2 linked regions of the Xenopus tropicalis genome follow. Each later gene encodes a partner of the first gene's protein in a complex. Links are inferred from orthologs where the notes say so. Each region holds a gene or a part of one and is shown in the gene's direction. Other genes may lie near its edges.

Evidence for each region.
Region 2: the proteins of gnao1 (region 1) and chrm2 are in contact, whole or in part, in a cryo-EM structure (PDB 7T8X), measured with the Homo sapiens proteins. The link is inferred for Xenopus tropicalis from reciprocal best matches to the Homo sapiens genes GNAO1 and CHRM2. Residues at the interface, in NP_066268.1 of Homo sapiens: Lys24, Ile28, Ala31, Lys32, Leu195, Tyr320, Asp337, Ala338, Thr340, Asp341, Ile343, Ala345, Asn347, Leu348, Gly350, Cys351, Gly352, Leu353, Tyr354; in NP_000730.1 of Homo sapiens: Asn58, Arg121, Cys124, Val125, Pro128, Leu129, Thr130, Pro132, Val133, Lys134, Thr136, Ile209, Ser213, Lys214, Ser215, Arg216, Ile217, Arg381, Lys384, Val385, Thr388, Ile389, Cys443.

What each region holds. Positions count from the first base shown.
Region 1 is NC_030680.2:51,834,217-51,840,104, reverse strand, and holds the end of gnao1 (guanine nucleotide-binding protein G(o) subunit alpha), read left to right. Parts: intron 1-1,578; coding exon 1,579-1,766; 3' UTR 1,767-3,258; downstream 3,259-5,888. UniProt on the Homo sapiens protein: Guanine nucleotide-binding proteins (G proteins) function as transducers downstream of G protein-coupled receptors (GPCRs) in numerous signaling cascades.
Region 2 is NC_030679.2:6,247,627-6,254,509, reverse strand, and holds the start of chrm2 (muscarinic acetylcholine receptor M2), read left to right. Parts: upstream 1-2,129; 5' UTR 2,130-2,587; intron 2,588-6,883. UniProt on the Homo sapiens protein: The muscarinic acetylcholine receptor mediates various cellular responses, including inhibition of adenylate cyclase, breakdown of phosphoinositides and modulation of potassium channels through the action of G proteins.

The sequences.
Region 1 (5,888 bases):
GATTGCCAATCCTAGCACTGACATGTAATTGTGCATTTCGCTCACTGCACTTCCACAGGAATTGCCGCTGTGCAGGCCAAGACTTGTGGCTATATTCTGCACTTTACATTCTGCTTTGGATGCTGCTTTGCACATAGTATATGACCCCTATTACCTGTTTTACCCTTATAATATAGTAGATAATATTATGTATAAAAGGCCCCATTTTTGACATGAGCTCATTCAGCTGGGCTTATGTAGAAAAAGTACATAGACACTTTCAGAACTTCCAGAATTAAATACAACATTGTATAAATGGTTTTTTTTTTCTACACAAACATACCTGATACTTCAGGAAAGGAACCCATTGGTAGGTTACCTGTTTATATAGACAGTAATGCAGCCCCATCCGTATCCCTCTGCTTTCCATAGCGGGTGGTGCACTGATTCTCTGGAAACAAAGGAAATTCAAAGAACATATAGAACAAGGTATGGTAGAGGTTGGGTTAGATTGTGTGAATGATGATGTGAAATTATCATAGTTTTCTTTTGGTCTGTGGAATAAGGTATGTTTGTGTAGAAAAAAAAAACTTTTTTCTGGAAGTTCACATGGTATTTATGCAACTTTTCTACATATATTAAACTGTATGGGCTCCAAAAAGAGTATACATTTTTGTTTTAAAAAGTCGTGGCAAAAAAACATAATCACATTTTTTTGCTTCAACATTTCCAGAGTTATCGAATTGAGATTGTTTTGTATTTGTTGTGTATTTTAAACATTCTGGTAAATTTGTTGTTCAATTCTTTTTCACTGCAACAAAACTTATGCATTTGAAAAAAAAATGCTTGTGTGTGCGTGTGTATTGGTGCAATTCTGTGTGTCCAAACAACATGCTCCTGCACTGCCATATGGCTGTCATTGTGTCCATGTTGCCTCTTCTCATCACATTGGTTTAATGGGTAGCACTGCTGCCCAGTCTTGCTGCTGGATTTGGTTAATAGGCACACCCAGAACCCTTTTTCATGCATGTGTTGCTCTCCAAATCCTTTTCCATTTGAATGTGGCTCACGGTTATAAAAGGTTGGGCATGCCTGCTCTAGGGTTTCCCAGCATTAGTAGGCACAAAATTCACAACAGGAGGCAGGATGGATGCAGCAGTGCTATATGCAACAGTGTGACAGTGCTAAATGCAGTTTTGGACACACATACCTTTAATAAATGCCATAACATTGAGCAATTACATTTTTGTGTAACTGTGGTTGCAGTTGTGCCCCAGTATATTTATTGCAAATTCATGTGCACAGACAGGGAATATTTAAAGGCAAAATGAGTTTCCTGTACAAAAAAACAGCAGGGCCTCTGATATAGATCATTTTGAAAATGGAAAATTTGGAAAAAGATGTGCAAAGTGCATCTCCAGCAGCTGTAATGATCACTTCTCTAGTGCTGCTTTACCTCAAGGCTGGTACAGTAGCCAATCATTTGGTGCACTTGATCTTTTGTTAGTGGGGTTTTAGTTACCTTTAGATTTGCTTTTTTCATATTTATTGTCTCACATGTCCTCATTGTTTTTTATGCCTTTTTTGTCTGTTCATTAGGTCCTAACACCTATGAAGATGCTGCTGCTTATATCCAAGCACAATTTGAAAGCAAGAACCGCTCTCCCAATAAGGAGATTTATTGTCACATGACTTGCGCCACAGATACGAATAATATCCAGGTGGTATTCGATGCCGTCACTGACATCATCATTGCCAACAACCTCAGAGGCTGCGGCTTGTACTGATTTTCTCTGTATAGCAATTTATCTTCTGGCGATAAAAAAATGCAACTTGGTAAACAGAAGGCAAAACAAAAATAAACATTTATATATATATAAATATATATATATATATAACCAATCTTTTTAGTTTGTCTCAAAGAGCTGTCAACAGAATAGATTCCTGACAGCCCTTATCCAAAATAATCGAGTTTCCTCATTTTTAAGGATTCTCTGTAGGTCCCAATCTGCCTAACCCTTTCAGTGCTGGAACTTCTGCAACTCATGTAACCCATGACTGTTCTTTCCAGGACTGAAAGATAGTGTAGGACTTATTTGATAAAGGGAATATAATATATTTTAATCTTTTAAGATATGTGTGTTGCGATCAGTTTCACACAAACAGGACCCAAGCGAACCTTCAGGTTTATCTCTTCTGTTCAGCTCTTCGGTTAAAACAAAAAAAAAAAATTCCCCTCCAATTTCTTAACCAGGTAGAAGTGTTTGTGAGACTCGCAGGACAATGTGCTCAGCTTTTGTGGGTGCTGTTGCTGTAAGAGGGTCTGAGAGGGATTCTGGGAGGCCCAGCTAGTCTGAACAACACAATGTAGCGGGCCCCCGTTTTATGATAAAGGTATCAGTGCCAACCCAAACTGCAGAGCAGGGGGCACAGTCTACAGTTTTTAGGGGGTTTCATACCCCGCTGTCCCCTCCTACTCCGCACTACTTTACGGACCCTCAAATTGATGATCTGCAGGTAGCATGACCTTTGGCCTTTGTAAAAACACAGCCTTCCTTAAAGTTGATGTGTAATGTTATCACTGGATTAGTGGCTGCATAGGATGCTGTAAATCTGGTTTAGCTAAGTCTGTACATTTAGAAGAAACAAAACTGTTCTTTTTTTCCCACGTGCTTGTAGCTTAAAGACACCTCCCTTATTCTTATTCTTCTTATTATTCTTACTACCATTTTCTTGCACCAACTTGTAAAGAAGCATCTCCTTTATCCTTTCCAACCCCATCACTGCCAGAGAAGCCAACATGGCCTCCAGCAAAGAAATGGGTTTATATAAATCTGTTTTTTGGGGGGTTTGATTGGGGTTATTTCTGTTGGACTAGGTGGAATAAAATTATCATTTGAATGGAGAAAAAAAAGAATTTTCCAAGATATTTAATGTACAGATCTGATTTCTGATTGGATTCCCTTACTCTGAACTGTGTACCATGCACTCTTTGGATTTGTATAGAAAAAGCACAGCTCTCACTGACCTCCAGCTGCTGAAATAATTCCCCTCTTCAATTTTTGCTCTGAATTCTGTGTATTTCCAAACTGATAGGCTTCTTTACTTTCAATCTTGTTTTACTTTCCTAAGTGAATGCTTTGTGCTGCTTCTCTCCCGCCCCACCCCCCATCCTTTCCATCTTATAGTGAATGGTGTTTTCCTCTCATGTGGGATGTTTGTGCTGAGAAAAAAAACACAAAAAACATCAAAAAAGAAAAAAAAAAGAAAAAAACAAAACAAAAAAAACTAATTTAATCGAATGTAGTGTTTACATTAAATCCACAATTTTCATGACCAAACCTTTGCCATTTCTACTTTGATTAGAACTCAGACTTCTTCACCATTTCACTTGCGAATTGAAGAAGAGCGGTCACAAATGTTAAAGAAAAAAAATGAAAAATCAATCAATAAATGAGCGAGAAATGAAGCTGGAGTGTGTTCTTTGTATTGCCGAGCGCTCAGTTTGGTGCTGCCAGCGACTCTCGTAACTAATGGAAACTCGTGTGTAGCTTAATAAAGAGAATGTTTGTCTGTACTGAGCTGTCTCCAACATTCTGCTTTTTATCAACGTGCGTCACTGTACAAGGAGAATGAACCTGGCTCCCTTTGGGCACAATGAGGTGGCCCTTGTGTCGCTATTGTACAACTGCAGGCTGTAGGTGAAATTGTGCCTGCATCCAGGTTGGAAATCTGCTGCTGCTGCTGCTCTGCATCCTTAGCCCAGAGGCTTTCAGAATTTAGTTTTTAGGTCCCACTTTGCAGTCATTAGAACAGGACTCTCTCTTAGCCTATAATAAGGTTATGGATTCAAAAAAATATTGTCCCAGTTAGGGAACCTGAGTCCTGGCCAGATGGTTGTTCATTTGTGATATCGGAAAAGGCAGCCAGGGCCTCAGTATCAATTTAATATCAACAATTGAAAAGTCAGAATATAAAAAGCAGAAGAATTGCATAGAATGTCCCAATATTAAAAAAAATCTTTTGAGGGTCATTGTACTTATTACGCTTATAATAGTCTGATTAGTCTATCTTTTTTGGAATAGGTAAGTGCCATGTATATTATTTTTACTATTGCAAATATGTATGTGTATGATGATTTTGTTGATATTAAATTGATGTTCCTATAAATATCCTTATGTTTAGGTTTCACTATCAGTTGCATGCATACAAAAATTATTTGCGCAATCAGCCTTCACTGCGGATGTGCTCATCTCCCAGCAGACCTCAGCCAATCCTTTAATAGGAGAAATGCCTACCCCCAGACCAATAGTTGGAAAAGCTTTGTGTATAACTTAAGCCAATTTTCTTACAGGGTCTGATTATCACATGTTGGTCCAGCAGAATAGTAAAAAAAAAAAAAAGCAGGCATGGTGGCCATAAAAAAAGTATTGCATTTTATAGTCTGCATGAAAAGGAGGGAATTTAGTAAGTTTTATGGTCAGTGTTCTTTCTCTTTGTGTCTCTGCTTGTGGCCCCCCTGGATATGATGTGCTGCCTGCCACATTGGTCAGAAAACTAACTTATATACTTATAATAATAATATGCTAAGTTTTTAAATATGGCACACACACACACACACACACACACATATATATATATATATATATATATATATATATATATTTTATTGATATTGTATTACATATATGTATTTTGTGTGTGTGTATGTATATGTGTGTGTGTGTATATATATATATATATATAATTTTATTTTTTTTTTTTTTTTTTTTTAAATCTGTGTGGTAATTGTCTCTGGGAATGACAACACTAAATTACAATCTTGGAGTTATCATTTTGGATTTATTTGTTGTTATACAGCCGAAACACTGACGGAGGATCAACGGGAAAAAAAGAACTGTAGAAGATCTTTACAATCTCTTTTATTATTACATATTATGTGAGAAGGCAGTGCCTTTTTGCAGGCCTTCTCTCTGGCCCTCAAAACATTTACAGAGCAAAAGTGGCTAGCAGGTACAAGTGATTGGTTTATTACCATTTTTTGCAAAGTGTAAAAGGTTCCTGCTACTATACATGCATTAAACATCCTGCAATTAGTTCTAGTATGACTTGGACTGAGAAATTGCATGCAGAGTAATAGACCCATGTACAACTGTATTTAAGGAACCCTGGAATTATTGTCTGTCTTGTGCTACTAATTTCCCTTTGTATATTGGGATACTCAACTGACTTTCAGTAAACTGGATGCTAATGCTGTGTAAAGGTGGCCATAAACATTACAATTACGATCTTAATCCCAGGAAAGATCGTTCCCACCCCCCCACTGACGTTCAGGGCTGAATTGTCCGATATGGAAACAATAGGGATTCTACTCCTATCTAACGATTCAGCCCTAAATGCAGATTGTGCGATATCGGTCATCTTGTCGATCCACCATACAAGTGCCGAATATTGTACGAATAATATAGGTGCGTGTATGGCCAGCTTTATGTTTAGTCGCACACAATGCAGTAAGAAATAGGTGCCACAACTGTGGATAATAATTTCTATCTGCATTGGAAAAAAAACACATGAGTAGAGGTGCAGGCTAGTTAGAATTTCAGCTTCACTGGGGGTTCCAAGTAGGAAACTGCAGTTTGGGTAATAAGACAAATTGTAATCACATTCACATTGCACATCCTTCATAAATGAGCCCTGTAGTTATTATTCTGTTCTGATGCTTGTACACCCCAAACAGAAGTTGCAGTTGAGTTACAGGTATCTCTTATGACCTGCACATAACCCGTGAACATGCATGCACCATCTAAGTTGTAGCTTTAACCCTATTACTGCTTTCTGCCATGTAGTACTAAAAGTAACAGTGCTAACACTGTGCATTTAAAAGTCCAGTTTTTCTATAATCTATGCAA
Region 2 (6,883 bases), on another chromosome or scaffold:
GCTCCCGACCCATTCCCTGTATCCCTGAGAGTCTCTCTGCTCCCGACCCATTCCCTGTATCCATGAGAGTCTCTCTGCTCCCGACCCATTCCCTGTATCCCTGAGAGTCTCTCTGCTCCATTCCCTGTATCCATGAGAGTCTCTCTGATCCCGACCCATTCCCTGTATCCCTGAGAGTCTCTCTGCTCCCGACCCATTCCCTGTATCCATGAGAGTCTCTCTGCTCCCGACCCATTCCCTGTATCCCTGAGAGTCTCTCTGCTCCATTCCCTGTATCCATGAGAGTCTCTCTGATCCCGACCCATTCCCTGTATCCCTGAGAGTCTCTCTGCTCCCGACCCATTCCCTGTATCCATGAGAGTCTCTCTGCTCCCGACCCATTCCCTGTATCCATGAGAGTCTCTCTGCTCCCGACCCATTCCCTGTATCCATGAGAGTCTCTCTGCTCCCGACCCATTCCCTGTATCCATGAGAGTCTCTCTGCTCCCGACCCATTCCCTGTATCCATGAGAGTCTCTCTGCTCCCGACCCATTCCCTGTATCCATGAGAGTCTCTCTGATCCCGACCCATTCCCTGTATCCCTGAGAGTCTCTCTGCTCCATTCCCTGTATCCATGAGAGTCTCTCTGATCCCGACCCATTCCCTGTATCCCTGAGAGTCTCTCTGCTCCCGACCCATTCCCTGTATCCATGAGAGTCTCTCTGCTCCCGACCCATTCCCTGTATCCCTGAGAGTCTCTCTGCTCCCGACCCATTCCCTGTATCCATGAGAGTCTCTCTGCTCCCGACCCATTCCCTGTATCCATGAGAGTCTCTCTGCTCCCGACCCATTCCCTGTATCCATGAGAGTCTCTCTGCTCCCGACCCATTCCCTGTATCCATGAGAGTCTCTCTGCTCCCGACCCATTCCCTGTATCCCTGAGAGTCTCTCTGCTCCCGACCCATTCCCTGTATCCCTGAGAGTCTCTCTGCTCCCGACCCATTCCCTGTATCCATGAGAGTCTCTCTGCTCCCGACCCATTCCCTGTATCCATGAGAGTCTCTCTGCTCCCGACCCATTCCCTGTATCCATGAGAGTCTCTCTGCTCCCGACCCATTCCCTGTATCCCTGAGAGTCTCTCTGCTCCCGACCCATTCCCTGTATCCATGAGAGTCTCTCTGCTCCTGACCCATTCCCTGTATCCCTGAGAGTCTCTCTGCTCCCGACCCATTCCCTGTATCCATGAGAGTCTCTCTGCTCCCGACCCATTCCCTGTATCCATGAGAGTCTCTCTGCTCCCGACCCATTCCCTGTATCCATGAGAGTCTCTCTGCTCCCGACCCATTCCCTGTATCCATGAGAGTCTCTCTGCTCCCGACCCATTCCCTGTATCCATGAGAGTCTCTCTGCTCCCGACCCATTCCCTGTATCCATGAGAGTCTCTCTGCTCCCGACCCATTCCCTGTATCCATGAGAGTCTCTCTGCTCCCGACCCATTCCCTGTATCCATGAGAGTCTCTCTGCTCCCGACCCATTCCCTGTATCCATGAGAGTCTCTCTGCTCCCGACCCATTCCCTGTATCCCTGAGAGTCTCTCTGCTCCCGACCCATTCCCTGTATCCCTGAGAGTCTCTCTGCTCCCGACCCATTTCCTGTATCCATGAGAGTCTCTCTGCTCCTGACCCATTCCCTGTATCCCTGAGAGTCTCTCTGCTCCCGACCCATTCCCTGTATCCATGAGAGTCTCTCTGCTCCCGACCCATTCCCTGTATCCATGAGAGTCTCTCTGCTCCCGACCCATTCCCTGTATCCATGAGAGTCTCTCTGCTCCCGACCCATTCCCTGTATCCATGAGAGTCTCTCTGCTCCTGACCCATTCCCTGTATCCATGAGAGTCTCTCTGCTCCCGACCCATTCCCTGTATCCATGAGAGTCTCTCTGCTCCCGACCCATTCCCTGTATCCATGAGAGTCTCTCTGCTCCCGACCCATTCCCTGTATCCCTGAGAGACTCGGTACCGCTAGCCCATTCTCTATATGATGAGTGAGAGTCTCTGCCCCTGACTGCCAGCCCATTCCCTGTATCTCTGAGTCTCTGCCCCTGACTGCCAGCCCCCAGTTCCGTACAATGCGAGTCTCTGCCCCTGACTGCCAGCCCCCAGTTCCATATGATCAGTGAGTCGCTCCCAGCCCCCAGCGCTGAGTCGCTCAGTCTGTTTGGCGATTGCTGCGCTACGGACTCCCATCATTCGCTCCCACCCAGCAGCGGAGGCTGAGACTGGAGACCCCCGGGGTGCCCCCTCCCCTCACTCGGCTCCACCTGAACAAGAGGTGACAGAAGCAGATGGAGGAATTAGCGGCTGCGGCGCCCCCTCTCCCAGTGCCCATTTAGCGCAGTCTCTGGGCAGTGCCAGCCGGATCCATCCAGGACTATGTCCCCCAGTGCCCGCCGCTGCTAGCAGCCTGTTCCTCAGTGCCACCCAGCACCCACCTACTGCTTGTCCTAGGGAGAGACATGGGAGATTGGTACCGCTTCTCTGCTTCATGACTGGGCATTGCCTGTGCCAGCTGCCAGCCGGAGAGCCAACTTGCTCCAACTGTGCCACAGGTAGGCTGCTCTACCATCCCTGCCCTATTGTCTGTACTGTCAGTAGATATATCTATGTGCCAATCTGTTATTTACATGCAGCCTGGGCAAACAACTGGGTTGTGTTAGTGTTTTATCTGCTGGTGTCAGGGTGCCACTCTCCCATGCTGGCGCAGTCTGCTTAGGGTGCCACCCTTGCCCACTGGGGCTGTGTGGGCTCTGCTAAATGCCAGGGTGCCACCTTATCCTACCTGAGGTTTGTGCAGTTCATTAAATGCCAGTGTGCCACCTAGATCTGCTGATACAGTCTGTGCCAGGGTACCCCCTTGCCCTGCTTGGGCTCTGTGGGGGTCTCATTAATGCCAGTGTGCCACCTAGCTATGCTGATACAGTGTGTGCCAGGGTACCCCCTTGCCCTGCTTGGGCTCTGTGGGGGTCTCATTAATGCCAGTGTGCCACCTAGCTATGCTGATACAGTGTGTGCCAGGGTACCCCCTTGCCCTGCTTGGGCTCTGTGGGGGTCTCATTAATGCCAGTGTGCCACCTAGCTATGCTGATACATTGTGTGCCAGGGTACCCCCTTGCCCTGCTTGGGCTCTGTGGGGGTCTCATTAATGCCAGTGTGCCACCTATATCTGCTGATACAGTCTGTGCCAGGGTACCCCCTTGTCTGTTTGGGCTCTGTGGGGTCTCATTAATGCCAGTGTGCCACCTAGCTATGCTGATACAGTGTGTGCCAGGGTACCTCCTTGCCCTGCTTGGCCTCTGTGGGGGTCTCATTAATGCCAGTGTGCCACCTATATCTGCTGATACAGTCTGTGCCAGGGTACCCCCTTGTCTGCTTGGGCTCTGAGGGGGTCTCATTAATGCCAGTGTGCCACCTATATATGCTGATACTGTCTGTGCCAGGGTACCACCATGCCATGCTTGGGTTCTGTGGGGTCTAATTAATGCCAGTGTGCCAGCTTGCAATGCTGATACAGTCTGTGCCAGGGTACCACCATGCCCTGCTTGTCCTCTGTGGGGTCTAATTAATGCCAGTGTGCCAGCTTGCAATGCTGATACAGTCTGTGCCAGGGTACCACCATGCCCTGCTTGTCCTCTGTGGGGTCTAATTAATGCCAGTGTGCCAGCTTGCAATGCTGATACAGTCTGTGCCAGGGTACCCCCTTGCCCTACTTGGCCTCTGTGGGGTCTAATGAATGCCAGTGTGCCACTGGGCTTTTCTAGACGTTGCTTTGCCCAATAATGCCAGTTTGCCTTCTTTACATGCTCCAGTTTTGTGGGGTCTGCTTAACCCCAGCCTTTGGTTGTGTGGGGGTCTGCTAAATCCTACTGTGTCATTACTGTATGGGGGGGGTCTATTCATAGCTATAGTGCCACCTTACCCTGTTTGGGGGGGTCTACTACCTACCAATGTGCCACCCTGCCCCGCTTAGGTTCTATAAAACACCATTGTAACATGTTGCTCCGGCAGGGCTGCTAATGTCCAAGTGCCACCCTTGTGTATTAGGGCATTTCAGAAGGGGTCGTGCCTTGGTACCACTCATAGTGGGGCTCATTCTCACCCCCCGTGCCCATCAGTCATGTTTTAGCCCTCTCTCAGCTCTGGTTTTGCCCCAGGAGCCCATAGCTCAGCCTAACGACAGTCTTTCTAATAACCAGGAGCGTTTAACACATCATTGTAACGTATTGCCTCGCCACTGGCGTGAAACATGAAGGCTTCTCCTCGCTTCTCTCCTCTTCATCCTATTGATCCGGGCTCCGGGGATCCCATCTCTTTCACTCTCTCTCTCTATAATGTCTTGAGTGGATTAGAATGAAGGTTCTACCATCCTAGGTATTGGGGTTTCTGTTATTTACCCCCCCCCCCAGTTGCCCCATGTTACCCCATTACTCTCCCTTTCTGTTCTTATTCATCATTTTACCCCCCTTCTTCTTCATTTTTCACCCCAGATTCCTCTCCCCCCTCCTCCTTATGGGAAATCTTTCCCCACAGTGACTTTATAAGGACAAACGGATCTGACAAAGGGACATATCTGTACCCCCCCCCCGGAGCACTTTGGCAGAGATGGGGTTTGTGGCGACCCAGTTCCGCGGCTGCAGGGGTAGTTAGGAAGGCAAATCCGCCCTATGGATTCATATAGGGACAATTAAGCCTGGGGTTTGTGATCTCCTAATTAGAAGCTTGAAAAGAATATTCCGGCTGTGTTTCCCCCATGAATGATTTATAGGAAAGGGGGGGAGTGTATCACTTTAATTTGGCTTCTGAAGAACATAAGAGAGTGATCTTTCCACCCATCAGAGATTCATTTGCCCCCCCCCCCGTCACCTTAGACAAATTGAGCCCGTTAGCTGATTAATTCCTTCTTGTTTCCATCAAATGAACATTTTTTCGTAGGGATCTTTCCCATTCCCTCCCATTGCGACTCAGGAATCGGCGCTACGTTGCATCCCAATAGCCCAAGCGCAGTGCAGTTTGACGCAAAACCATAGGGTTTAATCTGGTCCCAGTCTCGCGTCGTTATCCAATAGGCTGCAGAAATGATTGTGCGGCCGGTCGGCTCGCTCTTCGGAATTACTGACGTGGAAAAGTTATTTAGTCCCTTCTTGCTTATAAAAGCACTGGTGCCAATCGGGTGCAATCTGTTCAACCCCAATGGGGCTATATAAGTACCAGTTTGACACCTTGCCCAGCTGTAGTGTTGTGAAGCCCATGTGTTGCCATGGCATACTGGTGCGGGGGTTCTACCTTCTGTGGGGTCTACTAAATGCCACCTTGTCCACCTGGGTTGTTGTAAAGCCTATGTGTTACCTTGACAACATGCTGGTGCAGTCTATTCGGTGTTGAGGTTCTACCTTGCCCTGTTTGGGCTCTGTGGCATCTACTAAATGCCTCCTTGCCTACTTGGGTTGTTGTAAAGCCTATGTGTTACCTTGACAACATGCTGGTGCAGTCTATTCGGTGCCGGGGTTCTACCTTGCCCTGTTTGGGCTCTGTGGGGTCTACTAAATGCCACCTTGCCCACCTTGGTTGTTGTAAAGCCTATGTGTAACCTTGACAACATGCTAGTGCAGTCTATTCGGTGCTGGGGTTCTACCCCTGTTTGGGCTCTGTTGGGGTCTACAAAATGCCACCTTGTCCACCTGGGTTGTTGTAAAGCCTATGTGTTACCATGACAACATGCTGGTGCAGTCTATTCAGTGTTGGGCTTCTACCTTGCCCTGTTTGGGCTCTGTGGCATCTACTAAATGCCTCCTTGCCCACTTGGGTTGTTGTAAAGTCTATGTGTAACCTTGACAACATATTGGTGCAGTCTATTCGGTGTTGGGGTTCTACCTTGCCCTGTTTGGGCTCTGTGGCATCTACTAAATGCCTCCTTGCCCACTTGGGTTGTTGTAAAGTCTATGTGTAACCTTGACAACATGCTAGTGCAGTCTATTCGGTGTTGGGGTTCTACCTTGGGCTCTGTGGGGTCTACTAAATGCCACCTTGCCCACCCGGGTTGTTGTAAAGCCTATGTGTTACCTTGACAACATGCTGGTGCAGTCTATTCGGTGCTTGGGTTCTACCTTGCCCTGTTTGGACTCTGTGGGGTTTACTAAATTGCAGTTTGCCCCCTTGCCCAACTGGGTTTTGGTGAAACCTATGTGCTACCTTGGCAGTGTTGGGGTGCCACCTTGCCCTGCTTGGTCGCTACTGTGTGCCAAATGGCCGTGATGAGGTTTTTTGTGGTCTTGACATGCCAGGTGCTGTCTACTGCCATCTAGGGGTGAGGGGTTTACTAAATGCCATTTTGGGGTTCAATGTTATGGTGCCACTTTGCTTTGCTTGGGATCTACTAAATGCCCCTCTAGAGCCGTGTGGGGTCTTCTAAATGCTGGGGTGTCACGGTGCCACCTTGCTTTTCCTAGGGTCCGTGGGGTCTACTAAATACCAGTGTGCCACCTGTCCTTGATGGGGGTTTGTGTAGACCCTTATATACCAGTGTGCCACCTTGACATTCTGGGACATTGTAGGTTCTACTTAATCCTATTGTATCAACCTGCCCCATTAGGGTTGTGTGAGGGTCTACTAAATGCCAGTTTGCCACCTGTCCTTGCTGGGGGGTTGTGTAGAACCTTATATACCAGTGTGCCACCTTGACATCCTGGGACTTTGTAGGTTCTACTTAATCCTAGTGTATCACCCTGCCCCATTAGGGTTGTGGGGGGAGTCTACTAGAGGCCAGTGTGCCATATTGCCCCAAAAGGGTTTGTTGTGGGGTCTGCTAGATGCCCTGCTATGGGTATCCCACATTGCAGTACTGGGGTTGT